Callithrix jacchus: one gene and its partners. The protein of the gene in region 3 purifies or fractionates together with the protein of the main gene of each other region. This does not show direct contact. Links are inferred from orthologs where the notes say so. Each region holds a gene or a part of one and is shown on either strand. Other genes may lie near its edges.

Evidence for each region. Proteins that work in one complex are often made in the same cells at the same time.
Region 1: the proteins of SNRPD3 (region 3) and MEPCE purify together in Homo sapiens (affinity purification with mass spectrometry; 3 studies listed by BioGRID and IntAct, with this or other methods). This does not show direct contact. The link is inferred for Callithrix jacchus from reciprocal best matches to the Homo sapiens genes SNRPD3 and MEPCE.
Region 2: the proteins of SNRPD3 (region 3) and SNRPA purify together in Homo sapiens (affinity purification with mass spectrometry; 3 studies listed by BioGRID and IntAct, with this or other methods). This does not show direct contact. The link is inferred for Callithrix jacchus from reciprocal best matches to the Homo sapiens genes SNRPD3 and SNRPA.
Region 4: the proteins of SNRPD3 (region 3) and SF3A2 purify together in Homo sapiens (affinity purification with mass spectrometry; 4 studies listed by BioGRID and IntAct, with this or other methods). This does not show direct contact. The link is inferred for Callithrix jacchus from reciprocal best matches to the Homo sapiens genes SNRPD3 and SF3A2.

What each region holds. Positions count from the first base shown.
Region 1 is NC_133503.1:13,291,591-13,298,128, forward strand, and holds the end of MEPCE (7SK snRNA methylphosphate capping enzyme), read right to left. Parts: 5' UTR 6,257-6,538; coding exon 4,619-6,256; intron 3,387-4,618; coding exon 3,168-3,386; intron 2,996-3,167; coding exon 2,869-2,995; intron 2,765-2,868; coding exon 2,712-2,764; 3' UTR 2,162-2,711; downstream 1-2,161. Other genes in the region: PPP1R35 (protein phosphatase 1 regulatory subunit 35), read left to right, coding at 1-230, 307-523, 607-743, 839-1,012. UniProt on the Homo sapiens protein: S-adenosyl-L-methionine-dependent methyltransferase that adds a methylphosphate cap at the 5'-end of 7SK snRNA (7SK RNA), leading to stabilize it.
Region 2 is NC_133523.1:36,298,100-36,305,314, reverse strand, and holds part of SNRPA (U1 small nuclear ribonucleoprotein A), read right to left. Parts: intron 5,357-7,215; coding exon 5,184-5,356; intron 4,296-5,183; coding exon 4,116-4,295; intron 456-4,115; coding exon 282-455; intron 1-281. UniProt on the Homo sapiens protein: Component of the spliceosomal U1 snRNP, which is essential for recognition of the pre-mRNA 5' splice-site and the subsequent assembly of the spliceosome. U1 snRNP is the first snRNP to interact with pre-mRNA.
Region 3 is NC_133502.1:195,104,792-195,112,528, reverse strand, and holds the start of SNRPD3 (small nuclear ribonucleoprotein Sm D3), read right to left. Parts: upstream 4,824-7,737; 5' UTR 4,728-4,823; intron 4,542-4,727; exon of another isoform or gene 4,467-4,541; intron 2,612-4,466; 5' UTR 2,596-2,611; coding exon 2,470-2,595; intron 1-2,469. Other genes in the region: protein GUCD1, read left to right, coding at 5,956-6,209. UniProt on the Homo sapiens protein: Plays a role in pre-mRNA splicing as a core component of the spliceosomal U1, U2, U4 and U5 small nuclear ribonucleoproteins (snRNPs), the building blocks of the spliceosome.
Region 4 is NC_133523.1:2,122,424-2,129,638, reverse strand, and holds part of SF3A2 (splicing factor 3A subunit 2), read right to left. Parts: intron 4,705-7,215; exon of another isoform or gene 4,567-4,704; intron 3,445-4,566; 5' UTR 3,408-3,444; coding exon 3,282-3,407; intron 2,285-3,281; coding exon 2,213-2,284; intron 1,853-2,212; coding exon 1,806-1,852; intron 1,163-1,805; coding exon 1,053-1,162; intron 1-1,052. UniProt on the Homo sapiens protein: Component of the 17S U2 SnRNP complex of the spliceosome, a large ribonucleoprotein complex that removes introns from transcribed pre-mRNAs.

The sequences.
Region 1 (6,538 bases), on a different chromosome or scaffold from region 3:
TGATAGGCTGTGGGGACTCAGAGTTGGAGTCGGTGGACGGGGAAGAAGCCGCAGCGGTCCCGGGGCCACCCCCGGAGCCCCGAGTCCCGGAACCCCGAGCCCCAGTGCCCGAGCCCGGCCTGGACTTGAGCCTGAGTCCGCAGCCTGACAGCCCCAAGCCGCCGCATGACAGACCTGGGCGGCGGAAGGAGCGGGCGGAGCGGCGGGGTGCTGGTCGGCAGCGGCGGCAGGTGAGCGAGGGAGGCTGGCCCACGGCCCGCGATGGCCCCGCGCCCACCTGGTCACCGCCCTGCCCTTTGCTCCCAGGTCCGTTTCCGCCTGGCACCACCTTCCCCGGTGCGGTCCGAGCCGCAGCCCGCGGCGTCGCAGGAGCTGGAGATGCCCGCGCTGCAGAGCAGCCTGGCCTTGGGTCTGGAGCTGAGAGCCGCAGCCGGGAGTCACTTTGATGCCGCGAAAGCCGTGGAGGAACAGCTGAGAAAGTCGTTCCAGATCCGCTGCGGCCTGGAGGAGAGCGTGTCTGAGGGTGAGGGGGGCGGGCGGCAGGCCGCGCGCGCGGGAGTCAGGGCGAGGGGGCACCGCTCACCTCTGTCCCCGCTGCGCTCTCAGGGCTGAACGTGCCGCGCTCCAGGAGGCTCTTCCGAGACCTGGTGAGCCTGCAGGTGCCGGAGGAACAGGTTCTGAACGCCGCGCTCAGGGAGAAATTGGCTCTCCTGCCGCCGCAGGCTCGAGCCCCGCCCCCGAAGGTGATGCGATCTGGGCGTGGGGCTTCCTCCATGTACCCTCTTCCCCGGATCCTTTCTCCCAGTGTAACCTTGCTTTGGGCCCCACCTCCCAACAGGAACCACCTGGGCCGGGGCCAGACATGACCATCTTGTGTGACCCAGAAACACTATTTTATGAATCTCCACACCTGACCCTGGACGGTCTGCCCCCTCTCCGGCTTCAACTCCGGCCCCGCCCTTCAGAGGACACGTTCCTCATGCACCGGACACTGAGGCGATGGGAAGCATAGACCCCGACGATCCTTGGCGGGCTAGTTCGTATTTTTGTGTTAAACTATTTGTCAGAATAAAGTAATTTTGCTAATAAATGGGACTCTTCTTGGAGGCCTAAAATCTCTCTAGGGGGTTTGTCCACTTAGCCTCAGGTTGGAAGCTGCCTGAAGTTGAGTTTGGAGGCTTTTTAGGAACTTGGTGGAGTCATGGCAAATAGAAAACTGTCCACGTTAGAGGTTTAGATGCCCCTCAGTTCACAACCTTACCCACCTCTCCCTGACTTCAGCCACAGCTAATGCCTGTTTTATATCAGGCAATTGTTCTCTGTACCACTCATTCTGATCTGTGGAAATGCAGGGCCTAGCCTATCACAATTCACGAAGGCGTTCTCTGATAACCTGTCTCAGGAGCCTGCAAGCCCGCTGCTTGCACTGAGTTACTAACTTATCTCCTTTTCACCTTTAAGGGCCTTGCCTATCCTGTTGCACCTGAGTAAAGTTCCAAGTTCCAGTGACACCTGACAAGCCCCTGAAGAGCTTCATGTTAATTGCCTATAAATCTGATTCCACAGCACCAAAAAGGTGTCTGGTCTATCTATGAGTATTTGATCCAAAGCACTTTTTCCTACCTCCATTGACAAGTTAGCCTTCTGGCCGGGCGAGGTGGCTTCCGCCTGTAAGCACTTTGGGAAGTTGAGGTGGGCGGATCACCTGAGGTCAGGAGTTTGAGACCAACCTAGCCATCATGGTGAAACCCCAACTCTACTAAAAATACAAAAAATTAGCTGGGCTTGTGGCCTGTAATCCCAGCTACTCCAGAGCCTGAGGCAGGAGAACTGCTTGAACCTGGAAGGCGCAGGTTACAGTGAGCTGAGATCGCACACCCCAGCCTGGGTAACAAAGTGAAACTCCATCTCAGGAAAACAAAAATCAGAGTTAGCCTTCTGCCCAAGGCCCTCACAGGGCTTTTTTGGGGAGAGAAGGCAGACTCCAAGTTACACACCAAAATTTGCATTACATACTTTGCCTTTCTAGGCTTCTGTGTACTTTTGTGTGGACTTGGCTAGCATGCAACAATCAACCCAGCCACTGAAAAATTGTCTTCCTTGAGACGGAAGAGGAAGCACCACGTCTTCCCCACCAGCTATAAAATACCCAACACAAGTGTGGGGGCCACTGCCCTAGACATCAAGTTTATTGTGCTGTTCTCACATTCAAAACCCAACCCCCTCTCCCACTGGGGGACAGCAGAGGGAAAGATTTTCACAGTACCTTCGTGCCTCCCTACCAGGCTTCCCCCTCTAACCTTCAGTCCACCTATCCATGGTCCACTGAAATGCAGCTAGGGAAAAGGGCTGAGATATGGGAATCTCTCTCCTTGGGAGAATAGGAGGAAAGGGCTAGAGAATTTTATATCCTTCCACCTCCCATGCCCTAGGAGAACAGAGGTCAGCAAACAGTCCATGCCATCCAGCCTGGCAGGCTGTGGGAGAGGAAGATGGGGACTCCAGCACAGCCAGCCTTGCTGCACAAGTGTCAGAGGCGTAGGGAGGAGGCTGAGGCAGCGGCAGCGACGGAAGAAAAGCTTTCTTTGCAGATCCAAGAAGAAAACTATTTTTGGAGTCAGAAAGGAAAGACCTTGGGACGCTTTCCTCTTCCCCCAGGTCCTTATGAGCAGCGAAGGCAGCCTCTTCACACTTTCTGTTCAAGGGGCCACTTAGTGGCTGGGGGATCGGGCCTTGTGGAACAGGTACACAGGACGCTGGAAGCCTGAGGGGAGAGACAGTGATCAGAAGGGGTTGGCAGCACCTCCCCATGGGATCTGAACTCTATCAGTCAGGACAAGCCTTCCCAACAAAATAAACCAGCCTTACCTTTAGAGGTGTTGTGGGGTGTGGCTACAAGCTCATAGCTGGAGAAGCCCACTTCTGGGGATGTCAGGTAGGAACTGAACTGCTCTGGCTTCAGCTGGATTCGGTAGTAGTTCTTGTAGATTGTTTCCTAAGGAGAGAAGCAAAGGACCACTTTAGCATGCTGGCCACCTCCCATGGCCAAGAGTGATGCCCAGCCGGAGGGCCTTTTCACCTTGTTCAGAAATTCCTTCTCTATTCCCTGAGGCCTTTTCTTGCCTCAACCAAAGGATTATTCCCCATTTCCATCACATCCAACTCACCGTAAGGGTCTTTCTCTTGCCATAGGATGACCAGGGTTGGGGCTCTAGGACCAGGATGCCCCCAGGCCGTAAGTGCCGGTAGATCCGGCGAAACATGCGCTTCAGGCCCTCATCTCCCCAGTTCAGATGCACCCACTTGGTTAGGCTAAGGCAGAGCACCACATCATACTCAGGTGTTTGGGCTTCCACCAGGTCATCTCGATCCAGCACGTAATTACCCTGGGGGCAGGAATCGGCAGTGAGGTCAACAGAGGGAATCAAAGAACCCCTGCTTCCAGGCAACCTGCCCTGAGGCCGACACACAGTCCTGTAGCCTCACTTTAGCCCATGGTCATATTCTTCTCAGACTAACTCCCAAAAGGGGCCCTCTTTGAGTTTTGTTTTCTCCTCTACACCTTCCTGGCCTCTGCTTCTTCCTACTGGTGTAAGCCAAAAAACGTCTAGAGGGAGCCTGGGTAATTTTAAATGGTGCAAATTATCCATGAAGTCTTCCAAAGCTGAGGTCCCAGGACCCTATCCCGTGCTTATTCTCACCCACAGACTTTAGGTGGAATGACTGCAATTAGTTGCAAGGATAACTAACTAACCCAGGTTTCAAACCACAGGCAGACCTGTGGTTCCTTCTCTGCAGTTGGGGTTGGCAAAGTTTCAGGCCTATTCTTTGCTTCCTCTGAGAGATATGAAGAGCCACATCCTTCAGGAAACCTTTTCTAGAAGATAAGCTCATCACAGCCCTCTAGAAAGACCATTCTTCAGGCTTAACCCAACACAATGCCAAAGATCCCAGCAGACGGCCTAACTGGGATGTTTTCCGAGAGCTGTGTGCAGTCAGGGGACACTGTGGTGGGCATGGGACTCTCCTCTCTGTGTAGTTTCTGGCTCTTCCCTCTCCTACTATCTAGGGTCAGTGTGGAGAGGATCTACAGCCAAGCCACTTGGGTTCCTGACACTCTTCAACAAACTGTCTAGGAAAACAAAAGCTGTTGATGAGAACAAGGTCTCTATCAATGGGCAGAAATGCCAGTATTAGTCTGCCGCTACCCTAATCTCCCCAGAAGACATTCCATGCCTGACTCCCATTCTCAGGCTTCTTCAGTAAATCTGAGGACCAAGTTCCAGCTGGATTGAATCCCCTAGTGAGCAGTAACAGCAGCCTTAAAGGGAAGGTGGACCAGTGTGGATTATAGGCCAAGCCAGGAGCTGGGCAAAAAAAGTCCTCCTCTATTTTGGAGACCCTTGAGGTCATGAGAAAGGACTCCAGGGTCAAGGCCCCAAGGTAGAGAGATCACCTTTCCGGGTTATAAAAGGGAAGAGATGCCCAGCAGAGGCTCTCACTTGCCAACCCAGACCCCCCTTTTAAAGGATCTGGGTCATAACCTTCCCTGCTACATTCCCAGTTAATCTCATCTTCACACTTGGCCCCTATTCCAAGAGCCTCTGGACCCTCTTACCGTGACGAAGACAACATTGTTGGGGAAGACTGATGTGTCCGCTCCATCCAAGGGCACTTGGGGGGCAGCGATGGGGCCCCGGCTGGCAGTCAGCGAGGCTGGGAAGCAGCTCCTCTTTCGGACAGTGGTGGTCCCTTCCTCACCCTCTGCCCCTGGGTCCCCTTCCAAAGTCTGGCGTGGGAGACGCAGCTCCTCAGACAGGTAGTGTCGGATGTTTTGGCGGGCAGAATGGATGAGGCGGGAATCTATATCTAGGCCCACCATACGGGACGGGCCCCACTTGCAGGCAATGCTCAGGGTCAGATGGCCCACATTGCAGCCGAGGTCTAGGACGTCCCGGCCCCGAAACCACTCAGGCTTCAACACCCGAAGGCGCCCATCCTCACAGGAAGGATTGCGATACCCATAGTACTTGCAATAATTCCCATACTGGAACTTGCGCTGTTGCTTTTTGAAGCCTGCTGCAGGCAGTGGGTGCTGGTGGTGGCGACCTCCCCAACTCCCTCGGCCCTTTTCCTTGGAACCCTGGCCTCCACCCCTAGCCCCTGCCTCCGACTTGCTGGAAGTCCTGCGACGTTTGCGATGTCGGGAGGAGGAAGACGGGGGTGCAGAGGTAAATGAGGCAGCTGGAGGGGCTGATAGGGAGCCTGAGGGACCCTGCAGAGCAGATGGAAGGGGAGACACCACTTCATCCCTGCAGTTAATGGCTGTGTTGAGTTCATAGGGTTGGGGGGCATCCCGGTTCTGGCCCCTGTGCCGCGGGTGCTGTGTGGTGCCCTCCCCGTGGAGTGAGGGGGTGAGAGGGGCTGTGGGCGGCACCGGGTGGGTCTCACTCCCTCCGGCTGCCTGCTGCTGCTGGTGGTGCTGTCCCCGGTGTCTATGCCGCTTCCGACCAGTCTTGAGTGGCGAAGCAAGAACTACATGGCCCTCATCAGTGCAAGTATTGAGGCTGAGCGGGTCAGTAATATCTTTGGGGATGAGGATCTCCACTGGATCTCGCCCTTTGGCCGGAAGGGGGGATGACTTAGGGGTCTCCGCGTTGAGGGCGCGGCTCACTTCCTCATCCAGGAGACTATTCAGGTTCAGGGGATCAAAGATATTGCCCCCCAGGAGGAAGTTGGAGGGTAACACAGAGTCACAGTCCGAATTCACTCGCCTGCGCCTCTTGAAGGCCGGATGTTTGAAACCTCCTCCGCCTCCCCCTACATTACAGCTATTTCTCCTCTTGCCCCCGCCTCCCCCAGGTGGCCGGTGGGGCTGATAGCCATTGCGGGGTCGAGGGGGGGCAGGGGGACCCAGCTCTGTCCCGCCCCCTCCCCGGCGCTCCTCCCCCACGTCCGGAGGAGCGGCTCGCCCCGAGGGATCCGACAGGCGGGCCTCTCCGTGCGACTGCGCCTGGGGGCCGCCCCGGGGATTGGCCGCGGCCCCGGGGCTCTCCCTGCCGACCCCAAAGGCCGGGGACCCCGCAGACGGCGCGCGAGGACCCGGCCCACGCTCCGTCCCGCAGCGGAGCTCCCTGGAGGCGGCTTCTTGGTGCGGTGGCACCGTGGGGCCGCCCCCTCCGCCAGACTCATCTTTGAGCGGCGGCGGCGGGGCCGGCACCAAAAACGGCTCCTTCTCCGCGGCCATCTCGATCATTTCCTCCCCTTATTCCGTCCCAGTCGGGGCAACAAGGGGGATCAAGGGGCTTAATACCCCCCGCCTGGACCCCGCTCTCTTCCCCCTTTCCCGAGTGCGCGCGCAGCTCTGCTCTTCTCGCCTAGTCTCGCGCCCAAGCGCCTCCCCCGAAGCGCGCCCCACTCGCCCGCGAGACCAAAACAAGATGCCCGCGAGACCCGAACAACTCGAGGACTCAACCGCGCGTGCGCCGACCCCTTTCTCCTCCGCCACTACCACCCGGTCGCGAGCGCTAGCGCGCGT
Region 2 (7,215 bases), on a different chromosome or scaffold from region 3:
TGGGGCCTGGCACATAAGCAGGTGCTCGATAGCTCACAGAATGAACCTAGGTGCTGGCACCGCTCCAGACTGCCCTAACCTTCTGGACCCTCCAACCAGCATGCCAATTCCTCTCCGCGCAGGGCCCACCCCACTACTACATCCTCATCATTCAGTACCACCCCCTCGGGGGGTCCTGCCCAGACCACTCAACCTACAACTGCCCCGCAGCTGGTCCCTTTCTAGTCTTGTATTCTATTTATATGAGACCTGGTGGAGTGGGGACGGGACTAGATACTCACAGGCTGCGCAGGGGGCATCTGTCCCGGCATGAGCTGCTGTGGGGGCATGGCCCCTGGTGGGATCTGGCCAGGTGCAAGGCCTGGAGGGGGGATCATGCCAGGGGGCGGCATGTAGGGTGGCTGGCCCGGCATGTGGTGCATGATTCGCGGTGCCTGAGTCATTGGTGGCATGCCCTGTGGGGAGAGGAAGGAGAGTCCGTGGTTACGGCCTCCCCAGGAGGCAGAGAAGAGGCCAGGAGAGGAAACCCAGCAGGTGAGCAATGCAAGGAAAAACATCCAGAAAGAGGCGAAAAAGGCACCCAGAGAGGGCCAGACACAGCAAAACCAACTGAGGGTCTAGTGGCACATTAAATCAGAAAGAGCTAACTTAAAAACTCCCCAGGGGCAGTGGCATACCCCTATAGTCCCAACTATTTAGGAGGCTGAGGTGGGAGGATCGCTTGAACCTGGGAGGTCAAGACCGCGTGCAGTGAGCCATGATTGTGCCATAGCACTCCAGCCTAGGAAGCAGAGCGAGACACTATCTCTTATAAAACAAAAGCAGGCCGGGCGCAGTGACTCACACCTGTAATCCCAATATTTTGGGAGACCAAGACATGTGGATCACATGGTCAGGAGATAGAGGTTTTACCATCCTGGCCAACATGGTAAAACCCTGTCTCTGCTAAAATACAAAAAATTAGCTGGGCATGGTGGTGTGCGCCTGTAGCCCCAGCCACTCAGGAGGATGAGGCAGGGGAATCGCTTGAACTTGGGAGGCGGAGGTAGCAGTGAGCAGAGATTGTGCCACTGCACTCCAGCCTGGGTGACAGAGTGAGAGTCTGTCTCAAAAGCAAAACAGAACAAACAACAACAACACAAAAGCCCCAAATCAAAGGAAGGCAGAGATGGAAAGGGACAGTCAGGGAAGGGGCAGAGATGGAAAGGGACAGTCAGGGAAGGGGCAGAGATGGAAAGGGGCAGTCGGGGAAGGGGCAGAGATGGAAAGGGACAGTCAGGGAAGGGGCAGAGATGGAAAGGGGCAGTCGGGGAAGGGGCAGAGATGGAAAGGGGCAGTCGGGGAAGGGGCAGAGATGGAAAGGGGCAGTCAGGGAAGGGGCAGAGATGGAAAGGGGCAGTCGGGGAAGGGGCAGAGATGGAAAGGGGCAGTCGGGGAAGGGGCAGAGATGGAAAGGGGCAGTCGGGGAAGGGGCAGAGATGGAAAGGGGCAGTCGGGGAAGGGGCAGAGATGGAAAGGTACAGTCGGGGAAGGGGCAGAGATGGAAAGGGGCAGTCGGGGAAGGGGCAGAGATGGAAAGGGGCAGTCGGGGAAGGGGCAGAGATGGAAAGGGGCAGTCGGGGAAGGGGCAGAGATGGAAAGGGGCAGTCGGGGAAGGGGCGGAGATGGAAAGGGGCAGTCGGGGAAGGGGCGGAGATGGAAAGGTACAGTCGGGGAAGGGGCGGAGATGGAAAGGGGCAGTCGGGGAAGGGGCGGAGATGGAAAGGGGCAGTCGGGGAAGGGGCGGAGATGGAAAGGGGCAGTCGGGGAAGGGGCGGAGATGGAAAGGGGCAGTCGGGGAAGGGGCAGAGATGGAAAGGGGCAGTCGGGGAAGGGGCGGAGATGGAAAGGGGCAGTCGGGGAAGGGGCGGAGATGGAAAGGGGCAGTCGGGGAAGGGGCGGAGATGGAAAGGGGCAGTCGGGGAAGGGGCGGAGATGGAAAGGGGCAGTCAGGGAAGGGGCAGGAAGAAACGTGTGGTAGGCCGGGCGCGGGGGCTCACACCTATGATCCCAGCAGTTTGAGACCAGCCTGGGCAACACGGTGCTACCCGCTCCCTACTAAAAATACAAATTTTAGCTGGGTCTGGTGGTAGGCACCTGTAATCCCAGCTACTAGAGAGGCTGAGGGAGGAGAACTGCTTGAACCTGGGAGAAGTTGCAGTGAGCCCAGACTGTACCACTGCCCTCCAGCCTGGGCGACAGAGTAAGAATCTGTCCCAAAAAATATAAACAAATACAAATGAGGGCAGAGATGGCAAGGGACACTCAGGGCAGGTGCAGAACGAAACGCATGGCAGCCAGGGGAAGAGGGAAGACCGCAGATGGCAGGCAGCACAGACAGGGGCTGGAGTCACAATCTGAAGTGGAAAGTGGACAGAAAGCTGCGTGCAGTGAAGACTGCAGAGAGAGGTTAACAACAGGAGCCCACAGTAATCGGACGCCATAGGTGACGTGGAGAAAGTGTGAGTGGCAGTGAACAGAGCACAACTCAGTCAGAGCCAGAGCCACAGACAAAAGCCAGAGAGACACAGAGGATCAGAGACCCAAGGAGTGGGCCCGGTTCGTCTATCTTTTCTTTCTTTCTTTCTTTTTTTTTTTTTGAGACAGAGTCTTGCTTTGTTGTCCAGGCTGGAGTGCAGTGGTGTGATCTTGGCTCACTGCAACCCCCACCTCCTGGGTTCAAGCAATTCTCCTGCTTCACCCTCCCAAGTAGCTGGGATTACAGGTGCCTGCCATCATGCCAGTTAATTTTTGTATTTTTAGTAGAGATGGGGTTTCACTGTGTCGGCCAGGCTGGTCTTGAACTCCTGACCTCGTGATCCAACCGCCTCGGCCTCCCAAAGTGCTGGGATTACAAGTGTGAGCCACCATGCCCGGCCTTGTCCATCTTTTCTTTTGTACTTAGTGCTCTTTGTATTCTGTTTAGAAAACAGGATGTTTCCACTTTTCATGCCCTCACCAAGGTCATGAAGACATTTTCCTGTTTTCTTCTAGAAACTTCATTGTGTGAGGGCCAGGTGCAGTGGCTCAAGCCTGTAATCCCAGCACTTCGGGAAGCTGAGGTGGGCAGATCACTTGAGGCCAGGAGTTCAAGACCAGCCTGGCAAACATGGTGAAACCCTGTCTCTACTAAAAAAACAAACAAAAAAACAAAAAATTAGCATGGCATGGTGGCACCCACCAGTTGTCCCACTTACTTACTAGGGAGGCTGAGGCAGGAGAATCACTTGAACCTAGGAGGCTGAGGTTGCAGTGAGCCAAAATCATGCCACTGTACTCCAGCTTGAGCAGTAGGACCGAAACTCCGTCTCAAAATAATAATAATTAATAAATACGTAATAAAACTGATTTTTTCCACATTGCCCTTATACCCAGTGACCTTTCTAAACCAATCTTAACAGTTGCTTAGTAGATACTTGGATTTTCTACATGCACAATGACTTAAAAGACAGGATGAGCATGATGGCTCATCCCTGTAATCCCAGCACTTTGGGAGGCCAAGGCGAGCAGATCAAGAGGTCAGGAGTTCAAGACCAGCCTGGCCAATACGGTTAAACCCCATCTCTACTAAAAATATAAAAATTAGTCAGGTGTGGTGGCACATGCCTGTACTCCCAGCTACTTGGGAGCCTGAGGCAGGAGAACTGCTTAAACCTGAGGTGGCGGTTGCAGTGAGCTGAGATCACGCCACTGCACTACAGCCTGGGCAACAGAGTGAGACTCCATCTCAACAACAACAAAAAGACACAGGCAACAAAATCAAGGCCAAGGAGACAGCGATACCAAGACGTAGCCAGGAAGAAAGAAAGACACTGAGAAACAGTCACACGGGAACAGGCGTTCTGAGTGGAGATAGTATCATCTAGGGGCTCAACACAGGCGTTCTGAGTGGAGATAGTATCATCTAGGGGCTCAACACCCCCCAAAGAGAGACGGACACATAATCTCTATAAGGGAATGGAAAGGAGGGGTCTGAAGCCCCACGGGGAGAACTCTCCCCACCCTGTCCCAAAGCCAGTCCATGTGGCTAAGGAAAGCCTGTCAGTAGGAGGGTTGGTCTGCTGGCCCTGGCTTACCGGGACAGGCCCCTGCACAGCTCCCACCACGGGGGCAGCTGCCCCGCCCTGCACAGCCTTCTTGGCAGCTGGTGTCTCCTGGCTCTTGGGCTTTCTCTTCTCCCGCTTGCGATCCCGCTCCACAAAGGTGCCTTTCATCTTGGCAATGATATCTGAGTCGGTCTTGGCATACTGGATACGCTACCAAACAGAGAGCAGAATGGGTTAAGGGCATGGATTCAGAGCCCAATTGCCAAGATTCAAAATTGGACCTTATCAGGGGCCAGGAGGTCGAGACCAGTTTGACCAACATGGCAAAATCCCATTTCCATCCAAAATACAAAAATTAGCTGGGCATGGTGGTATACACCTGTATTCCCAGCTACTCAGGAGACTGAGGTAGGAGAATAACTTGAACCCAGGAGGTTGCAGTGAGCCGAGATCACACCACTGCACTCCAGCCTGGGCAACAGAGCAAGACTGTCTCAAAAAAAAAAAAAGCCAGGCAATGGTGGCTCACAACGGTAACACTTTGACAGGCTGAGGTGCAGGCGGATCACCTGAGGTCGGGAGTTCAAGACCAGCCTGACTAACATGGAGAAACCCTGTCTCTACTAAAAATAAAAAAAAATTAGCCAGGTATGGTGGCACATACCTGTAATCAAGACCAAACTAACCAACTTGGAGAAACCCTCTCTGAACTAAAAATTAAAAAAATTAGCCAGGTGTGATGGCACACACCTGTAATCCCAGCTACTTGGAAGGCTGAGGCAGGAGAATCACTTGAACTTGGGAAGTGAAGGTTGCAGTGAGCCGAGATCATGCCATTGCACTCCAGCCTGGGCAACAATAGCAAAACAACATCCCCCCACCCCCCCCAAAAAAGTGCTGGAATTACAGGCATGAGCCACGGTGCCCAGCCAAACAAAAATTTGTTATTGAAATGAGGCAAGGTGCAGTGGAGCTTGGTCCAGCCTCACCTTGGCCAATTAACCCTCATATCCCCTCCTCTACTCCAGGCCCACCCAGTCTCCTATAACATTTCACACACCCACACCCACACCCTGCCTCCATACCCACAATACTCACCATGGGCTTGTCATAGAAGGGGAAGCCCTGCATGGAGCGCAGGGCGTTGGTGGCACTGCTGACCTCCTTGAAGATGACAAAGGCCTGGCCCCTCATCTTCAGGCTCCGTGACACCAGGATATCCAGGATCTGCCCAAACTGGGAGAAGATGGCGTACAGGGACTTCTTTAGCTCTGCAGTGATGAAAGAGAAGACCTTGAGCCCCCCTTTCAGAAGTGCAGCAAGATGGAAGACCACCAGCCAATTCACGGGGTACCCAGAATGCCTCGAGTCCACAATCTCTGAAGACCTAATAATCACAGAAGCAGCCAGGAACCACTCAACTGGCCAAGTATACGCTTCTGTAAGATTTGGACAGTAATAGTACCCACCCCAGAGAGCTGCTATGTAACAAACATGTGGACATACATGCAAAGTGCTCAGAACAGCATCTGGCACATAGTAAACGCTCAACAGATATGAGTGATTCTTTTCATTGCCACCAGCACCCTGACACAGGACTGCATGACATGAACCTGGCAAATTTCCCCCACCTCATCATCCCTATCCACGTTCCACCTCGATCCCCAACCACACTGGCCCCCAGGCCTGAGACACCAATTCTGCCCCAGGGCCTTTGCACTGGCTGCTCCCTTTATCTGAAAATCCCTCCCCTGAGGTTTACATGGCGGCCTCCTTCTAGTCACCCAGGTCTCAGAGGAAATGTTGCCACCTCTGACCACATTTCTAAATGTCTTCCCATGTCACTCTTACTCTACGTCCTGTTCTTTCGTGGCTATTTCCTGCCTCCTGTCATGAAACATTAACTGGGATGGCTACAAATATTTGACTTAAGATACCATCGGCCGGGCACGGTGGCTCATGCCTGTAATCCCAGCACTTTGGGAGGCCGAGGCGGGTGGATCACGAGGTCAAGAGATCGAGAACATCCTGGTCAACATGGTGAAACCCCGTCTCTACTAAAAATACAAAAAATTAGCTGGGCATGGTGGTGTGTGCCTGTAATCCCAGCTACTGAGGAGGCTGAGGCTCAGGAGAGTTCCCTGAACCCAGGAGGTGGAGGTTGCGGTGAGCCGAGATCACGCCATTGCACTCCAGCCTGGGTAACAAGAGCAAAACTCTGCCTCAAAAAAAAAAAAAAAAAAAGGATACCATAAAGCGTTTTTTTTTTTAAAGACAGGGTATCATTCTATTGCCCAGGATGGAGTTCAGTGGCATGATGATAGCTTACTGCAGGCTTGAGCAATCTTCCCACCTCAGCCTCCACAGGAGCTGGGACTACATGTATGCAACAGCACACATGGCTAATTTCTTATTTTTTGTAGACACGGTCTCCTATGTTGCTCAGGTTGATCTCGAACTCCTGGGCTCCAGTGATCCTCCTGCCTTGGCTTCCCAAACTGCTGGGATTATAGGCGTGGAGTCACCACATCTCCATCAAATGCCTTACAGACTACTTCACTTCCTCACAACAACCGCATGAGGTGGCAACTATGACTGTCCCAGCTTTACTCAGATGGGAACAGGTTCTCAGAAAATGCCTCACCGGTGCAGGGCGAGTATCTAGAGGGCACAAGGAAGGGCATGGCAAACCCAGTCCACATACTCCATCTGAACCCAGTACTGCCCATCTCTCACCAGCAAAGGGTTTCACTTAACACCAAGTGGGTTTCAGCTCAACAAGGATGGTCTCCCTCTCACCACCCAGGTCTGCAAAGGCTAACAATGTCTCATGCAAAGAAGATGGCTGAGATGGCCAAGCATGGTGACTCGCACCTGTAATCCCAGCACTTTGGGAGGCTGAGACAGGCAGATACTTTGCACTCAGGAGTTCAAGACCAGCCTGGGCAATATGGCAAAACCCCATCTTTACAAAAGATACAAAAATTAGCCAGGCATGTTGGTGCATGTCTTGTGGTCACAGCTACTTGGGAGGCTGAAGTGGAAGGCTCACTCTAGCCTGGGAGGCAGCGGTTGCAGTGAGCCATGATCGCACCCCTACACTCCAGCCTTAACAATAGTGAGACTCTGT
Region 3 (7,737 bases):
AGTCTTGCCAACATCTTGATATCAGATTTCCAACCTTCGGAACTATGAGGAAATAAATTTGTGTTCTTAAGCTGCCCAGTCTGTGGAACTTTGTTATGGCAGCACTAACATACAAATACAAGAAGGGAGAGGCAGGTGGCTGCCCCCCACCTATGGTCAGGCATGTGACATGCATCCTCTGCACTATGGTTCCTCCTGCCGCCAATGAGCTATTTAGAGGAGGGACCAGAGAATTGAAGGAGGTCCAAATCTCACCCTAAGTCACAGTAGGTGGCAGGCTACAAACAGATTCCAGATCTGTCTGACATCAAGGTCTATGCCCTTTGTGTCATGTTGACTGCGTCTCTGAATGACCACCAAGGTCATCTGGTTAGACACCTTCACATTACGGACGGGATGTCAAAGGCCCTGGAAACCCAGCAAGTCGTCCAAATACATATAGCTAGTTGAAAAACTCATTAACATTAAGATTCACTATCCCAAATCTTGCATTCTCCTCAGGATGAGCACACCTTAAGCCACAGGACTGGATCTATGAAAGAGAGATGATAAACTGATCTACTGACAATCTAGTTATAGATGATAAACCTATCTACTGTCAATAAACTGATCTATTAACAGTGATGCGATAAACCTGAGTCACCAGAGATTTACTCCTCTGCATGCCAGGGAACTGACCAAGCTTGTCAACCTTGCAGGAAGATGACAGACGCTCACAGCTACAGAAAAATCACAAATAAATGATCCCTGCAAAGCAATGGATGGTTAGGATGCCTGACTGTGGTGTGAGATGCTTTACCTCTCTGACCTTCTCATCTGGAAAAAAGCAGTAGGTACCATATGTTAAACACAATATGTGAGACACTGAGCTAGCTACTGCACACATATAACTCATCTGATCTTTCTAAAAGTCCTGGAGGTGTAGATATTACTCCTGTGGCAGTCTTAGGGATGTGCTAATCAGATCTCCCTTCAAAAGAGAACAGGGTATTAGGAGTGCAGGAAGCCAGCAGTCTCCATCTTATCCAACCTGAGGCTACTCTCTCCCCAGGCTGCCAGCCAATAAACTGAACACACCAGGGGTAGGAGTCCACTCATTTCTGCCCCATGCTAGACTCTTCTAATGAGCAATCGCTGCTTTGCTGAGACTTCCTCAAAACTACGCTGTAGTCTAAGGCTCTTCCTGCTCAATCCTCCTTCCTTTCGCCTCTCTTTTCACCAGCCAGACCAGCATCATAGACTGAAAATTTCCCTACCTACTACTATTTCCTTGCTCCTTTATTGTCATTTCTCCCAATAAATACCTCGCATATTTCTGTCTTGGCATCCATATCAAAGAACCCAAAATAGTATCACCCCCATTTTACAGATGAGAAAACTGAGTGGTTAATACATCTAAGGTCGTATAATTAGGATTCAAACTCACATCTCTGACTCCCAAGCCCAAGTTTTTAACCAACAGTTTAAACAAAGAAAGTGTAAAGATATAATTGAAAAACAATACTCTAAAAATTCAGATGACGGGGGCCGGGCGCTGTGGCTCACGCCTGTAATCCCAGCACTTTGGGAGGCCGAGGTGGGTGGATCACGAGGTCAAAAGATCGAGACCATCCTGGTCAACATGGTGAAACCCCGTCTCTACTAAAAATACAGAAAATTAGCTGGGCATGGTGGTGTGTGCCTGTAATCCCAGCTACTCAGGAGGCTGAGGCAGGAGAATTGCCTGAACCCAGGAGGCGGAGGTTGCAGTGAGCCGAGATCGCACCATTGTACTCCAGCCTGGGTAACAAGAGCGAAACTGTCTCAAAAAAAAAAAAAAATTCAGATGACTATGCAAAAGGCCAAGTTGTGCCATGAGAAGGACACCATATCAGGAAACTACTCCATTATTTATTATCAGTGATGAGTCCTTTAATCTCACTCTCCCTATTTTATGGATGTCAAGACTATCACCAAACCTGCTTACCTCACAAGGTAGTTGCAATAATCAAATGAGATTCTCCCTCCAAGAGAAAAGGGAAACAAATACAGTATGGGAGAAGATTCTGCTAACCACAAGGCAAGTGAAGGCAAATGGATAATGGCTCTGAATCTGAAGAATTCTACTGAAGTAGCACTTCCCTCAAATAGGCCCCCAACTCTGGGGATGGAAAAAACAAAAAGGACAAAGTAAAATATTCCAAACCTCCAATGGCTTTCCTGCCTCAAGACTGTGCCTTGTTCATGCCCACATTCCCAGAGCCTGTAACAACAGTGCCTGGCATGCATTAGGCACTCAGAAAATCATTGCTGAAAAATAACAACAACAAAATAATAAGAAAAATAAAAATAATAAAAAACAAACAAACAAAAGAAAATCATTGCTGAATGAGAACAATTTTTTTTCAAAGACCCCCAACCCACACCTTTCCGTTCCTCTGAGACACAGGTCCATTCCTCCCACATAGCCTCATGTGCAAAGCAGGATACCTGGCAGTTCATGTTGTCCTCTGCCTCAATGAGCTTCCCACGATATACCTCGCCGGTGTTCGTTTCGCATGTCACAATGTGTCCCTCGGCCTCATGCAGTACTTTAATCGGCACACCAATAGACATCTTGGCAGGAAGAGTTCTAATGAGAGAGGCAACAGTCAGTTCATCATTCAGAGACTGAGAAGGCATGCAGCACATACTGTGCTTCCTTCAAGGCCTAGCCCTCCATAAAACTTAGCAAAAATGCCAAAACTGAATTTTTTTTTTTTTTTGAGCCAGAGTCTCTCTCTGTTGCCAAGGCTGGAGTGCAGTGGCACAATCTAGGCTTACCACAACCTCTGCCTCAAGGGTTCAAGAGATTCTCCTGCCCCACCAAGTCAGGCTACTTTTTTAGTATGGGGTTTCACCGTGTTAGCCAGGATGGTCTCAATCTCCTGATCTCGTGATCCACCCATCTTGGTCTCCCAAGTGTTGGGATTACAGGCGTGAGCATTGCGCCCGGCCCAAAGCTACATTTTCTACAAAAACAAAAACAAAATAAAATAAAACAAAACAAAAACAACTCAGCTCCTGGCTTGGAGGAAACTATCTGGCAAATATGTGCAAGATGTGGGGTGAGAAGGAATGGTGGGCTGGACAGAGATAAAAATAGAAATGAAAAGAGAGCCTCTCCCATCAACCACATGTCCCTACTACCCTATGTCCCTTAATCTTCATCTAAATGACCATTAGCGAATACTGTTCGTGTTGCGGAGTGGGGGTTAGAATGTTATTTGTTGCATTGTTATTGTCAACCGTAATTGTACATGATTACATTTTGAAAATTATATAGGCCTGAGCTGTCCAATACAGCTCATGTCCACATGTAGCTATTTAAATTAAACTTACTTAAAACAAAATAAAATTAAAATAAAAAACCCAGTCTCAATCCCAGTGGCCATATTCCAAGTGCTCAATGGCCATATGTAGCTAGTGGCTCCCCTATGGAAGGTGCAGATACAGACCAAAGGACCCATGAACACCTAGGAGAGGGGGCTGCACTTTTAATTCAGCCCTTTAACCCCTCACTTACTTTACCATCAAAGATGAGGAAATATCAAAGTGACAATATGCTCTATTCAGGAAATGCTTGTCATGGAGGAAAATCAGGGAAATCACCTGATTTGACCTAATTAAAAGAATCAAGCAGCCAGGCGTGGTAGCTCAAGCCTGTAATCCCAGCACTTTGGAGGCCAAGGCGAGCGGATCACCTGAGGTCGGGAGTTCAAGACCAGCCTGACCAACATGGTGAAAGCCCGTCTTTAAAAAAAAAAAAGAATCAAGCAGTGAACTTTTTATTGAGATAAGCAACGACTCAAAGTTGGAACGTAAGTGCACTTAACAGAGGAGAACGTGAGGTTGAAGAAACAGGTTCCTTTGGTGAGGATCCCTTGCTTTCAGCTTTAGGAGTCTACATTTTATACTGAAAATAGTGGGGAACCACTGCACGATTTTAAGTAAAGAATGACGTAATGAAAAAAGCAGCAGCACTGCCGGGCGCAGTGGCTCACACCTGTAATCCTAGCACTTTGGGAGGCTGAGGCGGGCGGATCACCTGAGGTCAGGAGTTCAAGACCAGCCTGACCAATATGGTGAAAACCCGTCTTTAAAAGAAAAAAAATTTTTTTTGAATAAAAAAAAAAAGTGGCAGCATTTATTTATAAAATGGATAGAATGTAAGGTTTAGAAGCAGAGAAACTTGTTAAAACTTCTGCAACAGTGTGGAAACCATGAGGGGACCACTACCTGAAAGGGGGCTGGAGGCAGAGATGCAAGTAACTTTTAAAAGAATGATCGGCCGGGCGCGGTGGCTCACACCTATAATCCCACCACTTTGGAAGGCCGAGGCCGGTAGATCCCTTGAGCCCAGGAGTTCAAGACTAGTAAGGGCGACATGGTGAAACCCATCACTACTCCAAAACAAAAAGAAAAAATAAACAGAAAAAAGCACTCACAGGATTTGGGGAAAGGAGACAGTCAACCAGAAATGACTTCAAGATTACTGCCTGGAAGCTCTGAAAAACACTGACCTGGAGAGATACAAAAAGTGAAAGCATGCACGCTGAAGCTAATGAACTTACTTCTAGGCGCTAGTGAGGCGATGCTCGCTGATGTCTGGGTGGCCCAAGCTTCCCGCTTTCTTCCCTCCCCGAGCCCCGCAGAGTTCCATGCAGCGAGTGGCCCCTCGACCCCCCCTTGCCCGTCCCCAGCCTCACCAGCTCCGGCCTCCTTCTCCTCTTCGGTGCGGCGGCAAATGAGTCTACGGCTAAGGCGTGAGTTCAGCGAATGGCGGGCCCAGCTCCCAGAATTCCAATCGTTCCCAAAATGCAGCGCGCAGGGCCCACCTCCTTCCTTTCCCCATTGGTAAGTGCGGTCTCGTCTCCGCTTCCTCTTCGCTGCGCCCGCCGGCTGGGAAACTAGGGCACCGCTACGATAGTTCCGGCACCAGAAGAGACGGCTGATAACTGGGCCCGAGGGCCGCCGGAAACAACGACCCTTGGGCCGGCAACGAGCCGCAGAGGGTGCTCGCACTTCCAAGCACCCCACACCAAGGACAGGCTGGACTGCAAGGCGGAAACCCGGGGCCTGGGCCGTCAGACCCGGGGCCTGGGCCGTCAGACCCGGGGCAGCAGGAGGTTGGGCCAAGGGCCAGGACTTCCCCCTCACAATTTAATTTTTTGATCCCGGCACCGCTAGGTAAGGGGCGCCCTGAGCGGGGCGAGGTATCTCGTACGGATAAAATTAGGTATAGAGTAGGGCGGCGGCCGGCTCAGGATCATCCCTAAAGGCAGTTGAAAGAGAGTTGTGGCCGGGCGCGGTGGCTCATGCCTATAATCTCAGCACTTTGGGAGGCCGAGGCGGGTGGATCACGAGGTCAAGAGATCGAGACCATCCTGGTCACCATGGTGAAACCCCGTCTCTATTAAAAATACAAAAAATTAGCTGGGCATGGTGGTGTGTGCCTGTAATCCCAGGTTCTCGGGAGGCTGAGGCAGGAGAATTGCATGAACCCAGGAGGCGGAGGTTGCGGTGAGCCGAGATCGCGCCATTGCACTCCAGCCTGGGTAACAAGAGCGAAACTCCGTCTCAAAAAATAAAATAAAATAAAAATAAAAAAATAAAAAGAGAGTTGTTTGGCGCTTCGGCAATGCATTGGGCGGGACCGGTGCTTACACCTAAGGCTGCAAAGGAGCGGGTCACGGCAGAGGCGGAGTTTGCTGAAGAGACGAACCTCTAGGAAGCATCTGCACTAAGTGCACGAGCTTCGGGGCGGGCCTCAAGGAAAGGGGTGGGGCTTCCGGGGCCCGTGTCCTGGTGGGCAGCGCGTCTACGCGAGGATTGGGCGACGGGGCGGGGCCACCCGACGCAGAAGCGGCAAATGGCCGGGGCGGGCTTAAATCGAGAGACTGGGGGCGTCTAGAATCAAAGTTTGGGGCGGGGCTTATGGAAGGGGCGGGGCCTTTAGATTCGCGAACTAGAAGGGCCGGGGCGGGCCTTGGGGAGGCCCAGCCGCCGCCTCCAGTTCTCCCCACCGCATCGGCGGCGGTGGCGGCGGAGGAACTGGAGACGCACCGGCCGCCCTCCCGCCCCAGCCGAAGCGGAAGCTGTAGCCCGCTCTGGGCTGGGGCCATGGGCGCCCCGCGCCGCCCGGGTCATGAGGACGGAGGCGGAGGCAGCGGGGCCACCGCTCGAGCCCGGTCAGTGCCTCTCTGTGGGCCCAGTCCTCACCCTGGGAACGAGGGGGACTCCGCCCTAGTGCGGGGCAGGGTCCCGCCTCGCCCCCACACCCTTCTCGCTCCAGTCAGTGGGGGTTTCCCTACACTCGCAGGATTGCGACCCTTGTCAGCATGGTGGGAGGGTCCGGGTAGCAGGGGCGCCACCTTCCCCAGAAGCGAAAAGTCCTGCTGGAGCCGCCTTGGGAGCTTCTGTACCTTGGGGAACCGTGGAAGACAGGCTGAGAAGGGCAGGGAACTGGCCGAGAGCACCGAGCAATGGAAGGGCCGGTGTCCTGGCCTCCCAGACTCAGCGTTTTGTCTTGCTCCTGTTCTTCGCCCTCTGGTTCCCTCTGCCACGCGGTAGCCTGAGCCCCTTTGGGGCGGAGACCCGGACTTGTATTCAGTGCCTTGGCGGTTAGTTTGCTTGCCCAAGAAGTAGGGGAGGAGGAAGACGTGATTCCTGTCCTGCTTAAGGGCAGGGCTGTTGAGAAACGGAGCGCTAGCTAGTAAACTCAGGTGAAGTGCCAACTGTGGAAGAGGTCAACAGCATGTGGGACCCTGACCTTCAGGTGTCACTCCCAGGGAGTTTTCTTTTGTGTTTGCTGTTTGGAGTAGGGGATTTACATTCCTCCTCCTGCAGTTATCTAACCCTGTGATCTTAGACAAGGTGCTTGTCTTTCCTGAGCTTCAGAGGAGGAATGGCTCACATTCGCAGGGAGCTTTCTGAGGCAGTTGTTTACATGCAATGCCTCGTTAATCCTCATAACGACTCATTGAAGTAGGTGCCCACTAGGATGTGCATTTTTGCATCTGAGCAGACTGAGTCTGAGATGGGTTAAGTATTCAAGGCTAGTGCACTACATGTCTTCCTAAGTGACAACCACTAAAGTCAGGCCAGGGCCTTCCAGGCAGCCCCTTGGCTCCAGGCATCAACATCTGGCTGTGGGCTAAAGCTGTTATGGGGACAAATGCCAAGGCCTCGCCTAACCTTATCACCCCCAACATGAGCATCTCTAGGTCTGATCCGCCTTTGCCAAGACTGGAGATGGCCATGTGGGGGCTGCTGGGCCTCTGGATCAAGGAATTCTAGAGCAGGGCAAGAGGAGGAGGGGCAGCTGAATTTCTGAGGACCCTGGAGAGCTGCTGTCCTGTGCCATATTTTACAACTGAACACAGGAAGGCATGGGCAGAGTCACAGCCTTGCAGAAGATAGCCCAGCTAGTCAGTGTCACAGCCCAAGCCACAGAGTAAGGAGGGACCCTCACACAGAGGGCTGTAGTCTGGAAGCCTGGGGTGTGGAACACTGAAGTGACAAGTCGGCCTGGGCATCTCAAGGTATGAGGTCTTTTTGGAAAATGCCTTCCATTCCCCAAGTATATCTGAGTGCCTGCCCTGGGCCGAGGGCTGGGAAGAGGCAAATGCAACCTCATCCCCATCTGCCACTGAAGAATTCTCCTTTTGTTCAATAGGGGAAAGCAGATGTCTCTTTAAGGACTCCGTATTGAGGGGT
Region 4 (7,215 bases), on a different chromosome or scaffold from region 3:
CTGTGCTCTTGGTCTCTGGGACGCTGCTATAGTGAAGGCACAGGTGCGCCAGGGCTGAGCTACCTGCGAGTCACTCAGGCAGGGACCGAGGTGGGTGCTCCTTTGTCCCCATCCTCAGAGCTCTTCACCCTCGGGTGCTGGGACACCACCAGCCAGTCAGGGTCACCGGGCAGGAAGGGCCCTTCGGCACCCTGCTCTGGGACTCAAGTGGGGCTGCCTGAACAGGGCCCACACGTGTGTGGGGTGAGCGCTCAGCCGCCTGGACCCCAGGAACGGCTGCTGGGGTGGGGGCTGAGTCCCTGCCAGGCCACCTGGCTCTCTCCACGCAGTGTCCGGCATGCACACTCACAAGCCCCCTGCCTCCCCACTGCCCTGAGCCCAAGCCCAGGACCTGTCAGGGCCTCCCGGCCGGGGCCTGCAGCTCAAGCTGCACCTGCCCTCGCCATCCAGCGCACCTGCCCCGGGCCTCTGCCCTACACGCTGCTGTCGGGAGGCCGGGCACACGGGGCGTCCCCGCCTTCCCGCCTTCCCGCCCCCCCGCGGACACACGTCTCTATCTTCCATCGCAGCTTTCTGAACTGGCAACCATTTCCACTGCTGAGGGTCCCAGACGGAGCCGCCCCTAACAGCCGCTGCTCCCCGTCCTCTTCCTTCCGAGGCTAAGACGAGTGGAACCCAGTTTCAAGGTTAACGGGAGAGAGGCGTCAGGCTCGCCACACCCCCACTTCCACTCTTGCTTGGCAAGAATTCCCAGAAGCTTCTACAACACTGGACTGCGAGGCACAGAGGGGCCGCCACTCACATACCAGGAGCCCCAGGCACAGAGGCGGCCAGGCAAGGAGGGCACAGACTGGGGCTCTGCTGGGGAAGGGGCCACTGGGTGAGATGGGTGCTTATCGCGTCCAGCCTGACAGCTCCCAGACACAGCGCCAGACGCTGCAGGCGGGTGAAGGATGGCCGCCAAGGCCATCAAACAGCAGCTCGGGGACGGGGTCTCAGGGCTGTGGCTTCCGTGCCGGAGCCCAAACCCATTCACGAGGCGGCAGACTCACCCTTGTAGCCGGGGCGGCCGATCTTCACAAACTTCTTCACCTCAACCTTGACCTTCTCAGGTGCAGGCTGGGCGGGGGCCTCCTTGGCCTCCTTGGCGGCTCGCCGGGCCCTGCGGGCAGGATGGACATGGTGCTGGGGCCCTCCACGCACAGGCACCAGGGACACGGGCCCAGGGACTGGTAGCCCCGACCTCAGAGCTCACTACACACCAAGGGATGAGGAGGGCCAGGGGCCGGGGAGGGGCCCTGGGGTTTGGACCAGGACAGGGGTGGGACAGGGATGTTCTCTTCCTGTCACGCTGCACTGTCCCTGCCTGGGGCCCTTCCCACAACCCCACGCCTCTGCTCTTCTCTTTTTTTTTGAGACAGAGTTTCACTCTTGTTGCCCAGGCTGGAGTGTAATGGCACCCTCTTGGTTCACTGCAACCTCCGCCTCCCAGGTTCAAGATTCTCCTGCCTCAGCCTCCAGAGTAGCTGGAATTACAGGTGTGCACTGCTGTGCCAAGCTGAGTTTTCTATGTTTAGTAGAGATGGAACTTCACCATGTCGGCCAGGCTGGTCTCGAACTCCTGACCTCAGGTGATCCACCCACCTCAGCAATACAGCCTATGTTCCCTAATGCTCCCCAGAGACCTTACTCCAGCGCCCATTCAGGCCCAGGCCAGGCTGGTTTCCACGCTGTGGAGCCGTGGCCCGGGGGCTCATGGAGACGGGCTGCTGGAGCAGCCGGTGAGACGCGGGCGAGGTACTCACAAGTTGGTCTGGTGCTTCTTCCCCTGGGTATGTGCCAGGTAGCTCCCCTGGAGTGGAAAGGAAACACATGTGACTCGAGGCCGAGGGGACAGACACGGGGCAGGAAACACGCGTGACTCAAGGCCGAGGGGACAGACACGGGGCAGGAAACACGCGTGACTCGAGGCCGAGGGGGCAAGACATGGGGCAGGAAACACGCGTGACTCGAGGCCGAGGGGGCAAGACACGGGGCAGGAAACACGCGTGACTCGAGGCCGAGGGGACAGACACGGGGCAGGAAACACGCGTGACTCGAGGCCGAGGGGACAGACACGGGGCAGGAAACACGCGTGACTCGAGGCTGAGGGGACAGACACGGGGCAGGAAACACGCGTGACTCGAGGCCGAGGGGACAGCACGGGCCGCACCTCGTTGTTGTGAAGCGTTAGGCAGAGCTTGCATTCATAGGAGCCCAGGTGGTTTTTCATGAAATACGGGTCCTGGAAGGGAAGAACAGGTACCCCGTTAGACAGAAGATAATGGCCTGCCCTGCGGTCGGGGCCCTCAGAGGTGGGACCCCCTTTCTGTGGAGGCCTGGCTGTCCCTGATGGATCTGGCGAGGGGCCTCGTGAGCACGCGTGTGGCCACCTGGGGCTGTGGCCTAGGCTTTGAGCAGTGGGTTCCCAGGGAGCCCTGGCACCACCTTCCTGGTGGTTCTGAGGCAGAGAGGCAGAGCCAGGACAGCAGCGCCTGTCACTCTGATGCAAGGAGCCGTCCGCTGTCCACGCCACCAGGCCAGGGGTCAGCACAAGGCAGACGCAGGGATGAGAAAAGCAATGGGTGACATGGAAGGCCACGCGCATCCACGGGCCCTGAACTGGGGCAGGCAGGCACACACTTCTCGTCTCAGACCCTGGAGTTCAAACCCTAACTCCACCCCCTGCGGCCTGGCACCCCTCCACCGTGATCTCATCTGGAAGACAAGGAACGTCACAGAGCCTATGCTGCAGGCCAGGCCCGTGGGGCATGTCAGGGAACACGGCACTGGTGGGTCCTGGTGGCATCCAAACCTAAGGAAGCGCACGCTGGCAGGGTCTCGGCTGGGATCCACCCTCACAGGGGCCTGGGCGGTGTCTGGGGACATCTGTGTTTGTCCCGATGGGGGGAGCTCCTGGCACGGAGCCAGTGGGGGAAGGGATGCTGCTTGGCACCCTACAGTGCCCGGGACGGCCCCAGCCCAGTGCTGCAGCCCCGACGTCCACAGTGCTGAGGGGGACCCGGCCCACCCCACCTCTGCACAAGGTAAAACCAGAGCCTTCACTGCATCTGACTGGACCGACATCAGCTCCCCCCATTTCCACAAACTGGATGATGCCCAACAAGGCTTTGCACAGAGCCCACCATTTCCACCCGGGGCTCAGAGCCACAGAGGGTCTGCTGCCTGGCGTGGCTGGATGGGAGCTGCGGCTGCATCGCCCTGCCCAGCCGGCCGCCCACCTTGTTGATGTCGATGGTCTCCAGGGCCAGCTGCCGGAGGCGCTCCCTGCGGTCACGGTTGCTCTCGGAGGAGGAGGCCACGCCCCCGCTCCCGGTCTTGCCCCCAGGGCGATGCTGGAAGTCCATGGTGACGGCCTCCGGGCTTCAGCAGACTGGGAGACACCTGTGGAGGAGTGTGAAGACGGCTGAGAAGGCGGGGCTGCTGCTGGGACCTCCTGGGGCACCCAGCCTGTGGAGGCCAAGAGGAGACTGAGAAGGACGGCTAGAACTCGGGGCTGCTGCTGCCACCCCAGGGCCGGGCAGTCAGGTTGGGGCCAGCAAGACTGCTCCTCACCCTGCACTCCCAGCGCCAGGGTCTCACCAGCCCTGAGGGGCCACCTGCTAGTGCACTGACTCTCTTCCAGGGTGCCAGGGCCCACTGTGGGCCGGGCACAGACATGAGGAAGCTGGAGCCTGCCTCTTGACCGTGCAGGAGGGTGGAGGGGAAGCCACTCCAGCCCACGGTGCCAAGGCCTGGAGACCTGAAATGGCGACAGGGAGTCAGAGAAGGCACAACCAGGGAAGAGGCGGCCAAATTCTCACCACCGAGTCACCACCTCCAGGAAGCCATCGGGACTGCCCGAGCCCCCAGTGTTCACACCTTCCTCTCAACTCCCTCTAGGGTTGGCTACGCTTACTTGTCCCAACCTGAGTTCTATCTCTCGGAATCGGCTGTGAATTTTCTGGGCAGAGAGGGAGACGTGGATCTTCCGGTCCTCACTGGGTAACACCGGGAGATCAGCCACATCTGCCTGTGGCGCAGGAGGGCTCTCCTGAGTCCCAAACACCCGCTTCCCGCCGCAGCCCTCTGCCGCTGCTCCACACCCTCAGGCTCCAGGCAGACCCAAGCTCCAGGCAGCTTCCCCTCCTCTCCTGACGCTTTTCCCTGCCCCTTCAACACCTGCCCCGGGCCCTGGTTTAAAGGCCCTGGGTGAGCTCAGGAGACCGAGTGAATCATTCATGGCCCCCAAAGACGTCCGTCCACATGCGAACCCCTGGGCCCTGCGAACCCTCACACGGCAGGAAAGGGAAGCGCAGGTGGGCCTGAGGATCTTAAAACAACGGGTGATCCTTTCAGCATCCTCCCGAGAGGAGGGGGAGGCTGGGGGACAGAGAGGCTGTGCTGTGCTGTGAACAGGGAGGACGAGGGGAAAGGCGGGAAGAGTTCCGCTAACAGAAGGGATGGAGCCTCAGGGACTGTTTGCACTTCCAGCCCCAGATCCAGAAGCGGATGCAGCCACGTCACCTGAACTGCCGCGTCTTCGGTGATCTGCCACAGCGGCCGCAGGTGTGCAGGAGCACGCTGAGGTACAGGCCAGCTGTGCTGCTGACCTGCGGTGGGACCTGAGGTCACTCCTCAGCTGTGGGGGCCCAGGACCCTCCCACCCAGTTAGTTTATGACAACGATCCAGTGTGGTAACCGGTGGGACGGGCTGCTGACCTGCGGTGGGACCTGAGGTCACTCCTCAGCTGTGGGGGCCCAGGACCCTCCCACCCAGTTAGTTTATGACAACGATCCAGTGTGGTAACCGGTGGGACGGGCTGCTGACCTGCGGTGGGACCTGAGGTCACTCCTCAGCTGTGGGGGCCCAGGACCCTCCCACCCAGTTAGTTTATGACAACGATCCAGTGTGGTAACCGGTGGGACGGGCTGCTGACCTGCGGTGGGACCTGAGGTCACTCCTCAGCTGTGGGGGCCCAGGACCCTCCCACCCAGTTAGTTTATGACAACGATCCAGTGTGGTAACCGGTGGGACGGGCTGCTGACCTGCGGTGGGACCTGAGGTCACTCCTCAGCTGTGGGGGCCCAGGACCCTCCCACCCAGTTAGTTTATGACAACGATCCAGTGTGGTAACCGGTGGGACGGGCTGCTGACCTGCGGTGGGACCTGAGGTCACTCCTCAGCTGTGGGGGCCCAGGACCCTCCCACCCAGTTAGTTTATGACAACGATCCAGTGTGGTAACCGGTGGGACGGGCTGCTGACCTGCGGTGGGAGCTGAGGTCACTCCTCAGCTGTGGGGGCCCAGGACCCTCCCACCCAGTTAGTTTATGACAACGATCCAGTGTGGTAACCGGTGGGACGGGCTGCTGACCTGCGGTGGGACCTGAGGTCACTCCTCAGCTGTGGGGGCCCAGGACCCTCCCACCCAGTTAGTTTATGACAACGATCCAGTGTGGTAACCGGTGGGACGGGCTGCTGACCTGCGGTGGGACCTGAGGTCACTCCTCAGCTGTGGGGGCCCAGGACCCTCCCACCCAGTTAGTTTATGACAACGATCCAGTGTGGTAACCGGTGGGACGGGCTGCTGACCTGCGGTGGGACCTGAGGTCACTCCTCAGCTGTGGGGGCCCAGGACCCTCCCACCCAGTTAGTTTATGACAACGATCCAGTGTGGTAACCGGTGGGACGGGCTGCTGACCTGCGGTGGGACCTGAGGTCACTCCTCAGCTGTGGGGGCCCAGGACCCTCCCACCCAGTTAGTTTATGACAACGATCCAGTGTGGTAACCGGTGGGACGGGCTGCTGACCTGCGGTGGGACCTGAGGTCACTCCTCAGCTGTGGGGGCCCAGGACCCTCCCACCCAGTTAGTTTATGACAACGATCCAGTGTGGTAACCGGTGGGACGGGCTGCTGACCTGCGGTGGGACCTGAGGTCACTCCTCAGCTGTGGGGGCCCAGGACCCTCCCACCCAGTTAGTTTATGACAACGATCCAGTGTGGTAACCGGTGGGACAGGCTGCCGAGCTCACTGCAGCATCACAGTGACAAGTTCAGACGCCACGAAAGCCCCCCTGGAGACGCCCATTTTCACATATTGTCACGTAAACGTCAAGAAACCACCATCGTGACCATCGCTATCCCTTCACAGACAACATTCCAATGGGAAAAAGGAGACGGTGGCACCAGAAGGACTGTCCTCTGCCGGGAACGCCACCCTCTGGCCCACAGGACCCTCCCTGCCTGGGGCTTCTCGGCCACGCGTTCTTCAGGACCGGGGGAACTGCACCCCATCAGCGCCGGCGCTGGGGCCGTCAGCCGCAGGCCAGTCCAACACCGCCATCCCTGCTGCGGCGCCAGCTCAGGGTGGCCTGGGAGGCTCTGTCTCTGACTGGCCCGTGGGCCGGGCGGGATTAGTGGGCACCACCTGGACAGATTCGTGACGGGCCTAATTTCTCTCTGGAGGACATTTAAGCACCTCCTGGTCAAGGGGCATGAAACTCCCATCAGGGATGAGTGTGGGGAGCCCAGCGAGCAGCGTCCCACCAGGCCAAGGAGGCACCTGCGTCTCCACACACAAAACCAGTCCTCCATTCATCTCAGCACCCAGAAGCCCCCGCCGGGGACCGTGCGGGAAGGCAGGGAATCGGCCTTCTTCTTTCGAAGATGTACCCCAAGAACCCAGGAGGGGCCGGTGCTGGGAGGCACACCCCAGACCTCTGTGATTCATCAGGCACTGCAGCCTCCAGGAAGATGGCCTGCCCCCTTCATGAGGAAGGAATTCGGCAGCATGAGAACGCCCCGCTGTCCCTGGCCGTGGCCTCCCCTGGACCACGCCGCCATCCTGAGGCTGAGCTCTGCAGAGCCATCATTGGTCTCTACCCCCAAGCCTGCGCTCTCCCCCACACTGCCATGGCATCCTCATGGCCAGTGCCAGGGGCTGCTGGCAGAGAGAAGAGCAGAGGGCAGGATGTGCCTTCGGAGGCCCCAGGGCCCAGGAGGAACGGAGCTCAGTCACGGGAGTGACCTGCGCTTTGCTCCTCCATGCAGGAAAAGGGGGCCCGGCTTCTGGGCCAGGACAGCTGCAGGGGGCCACACTAAGCCACAGATGGATGTACCCTCATATACTTATTAAGCCATCACATTGTAGTGACACTTCCAGAATGTTCTAAT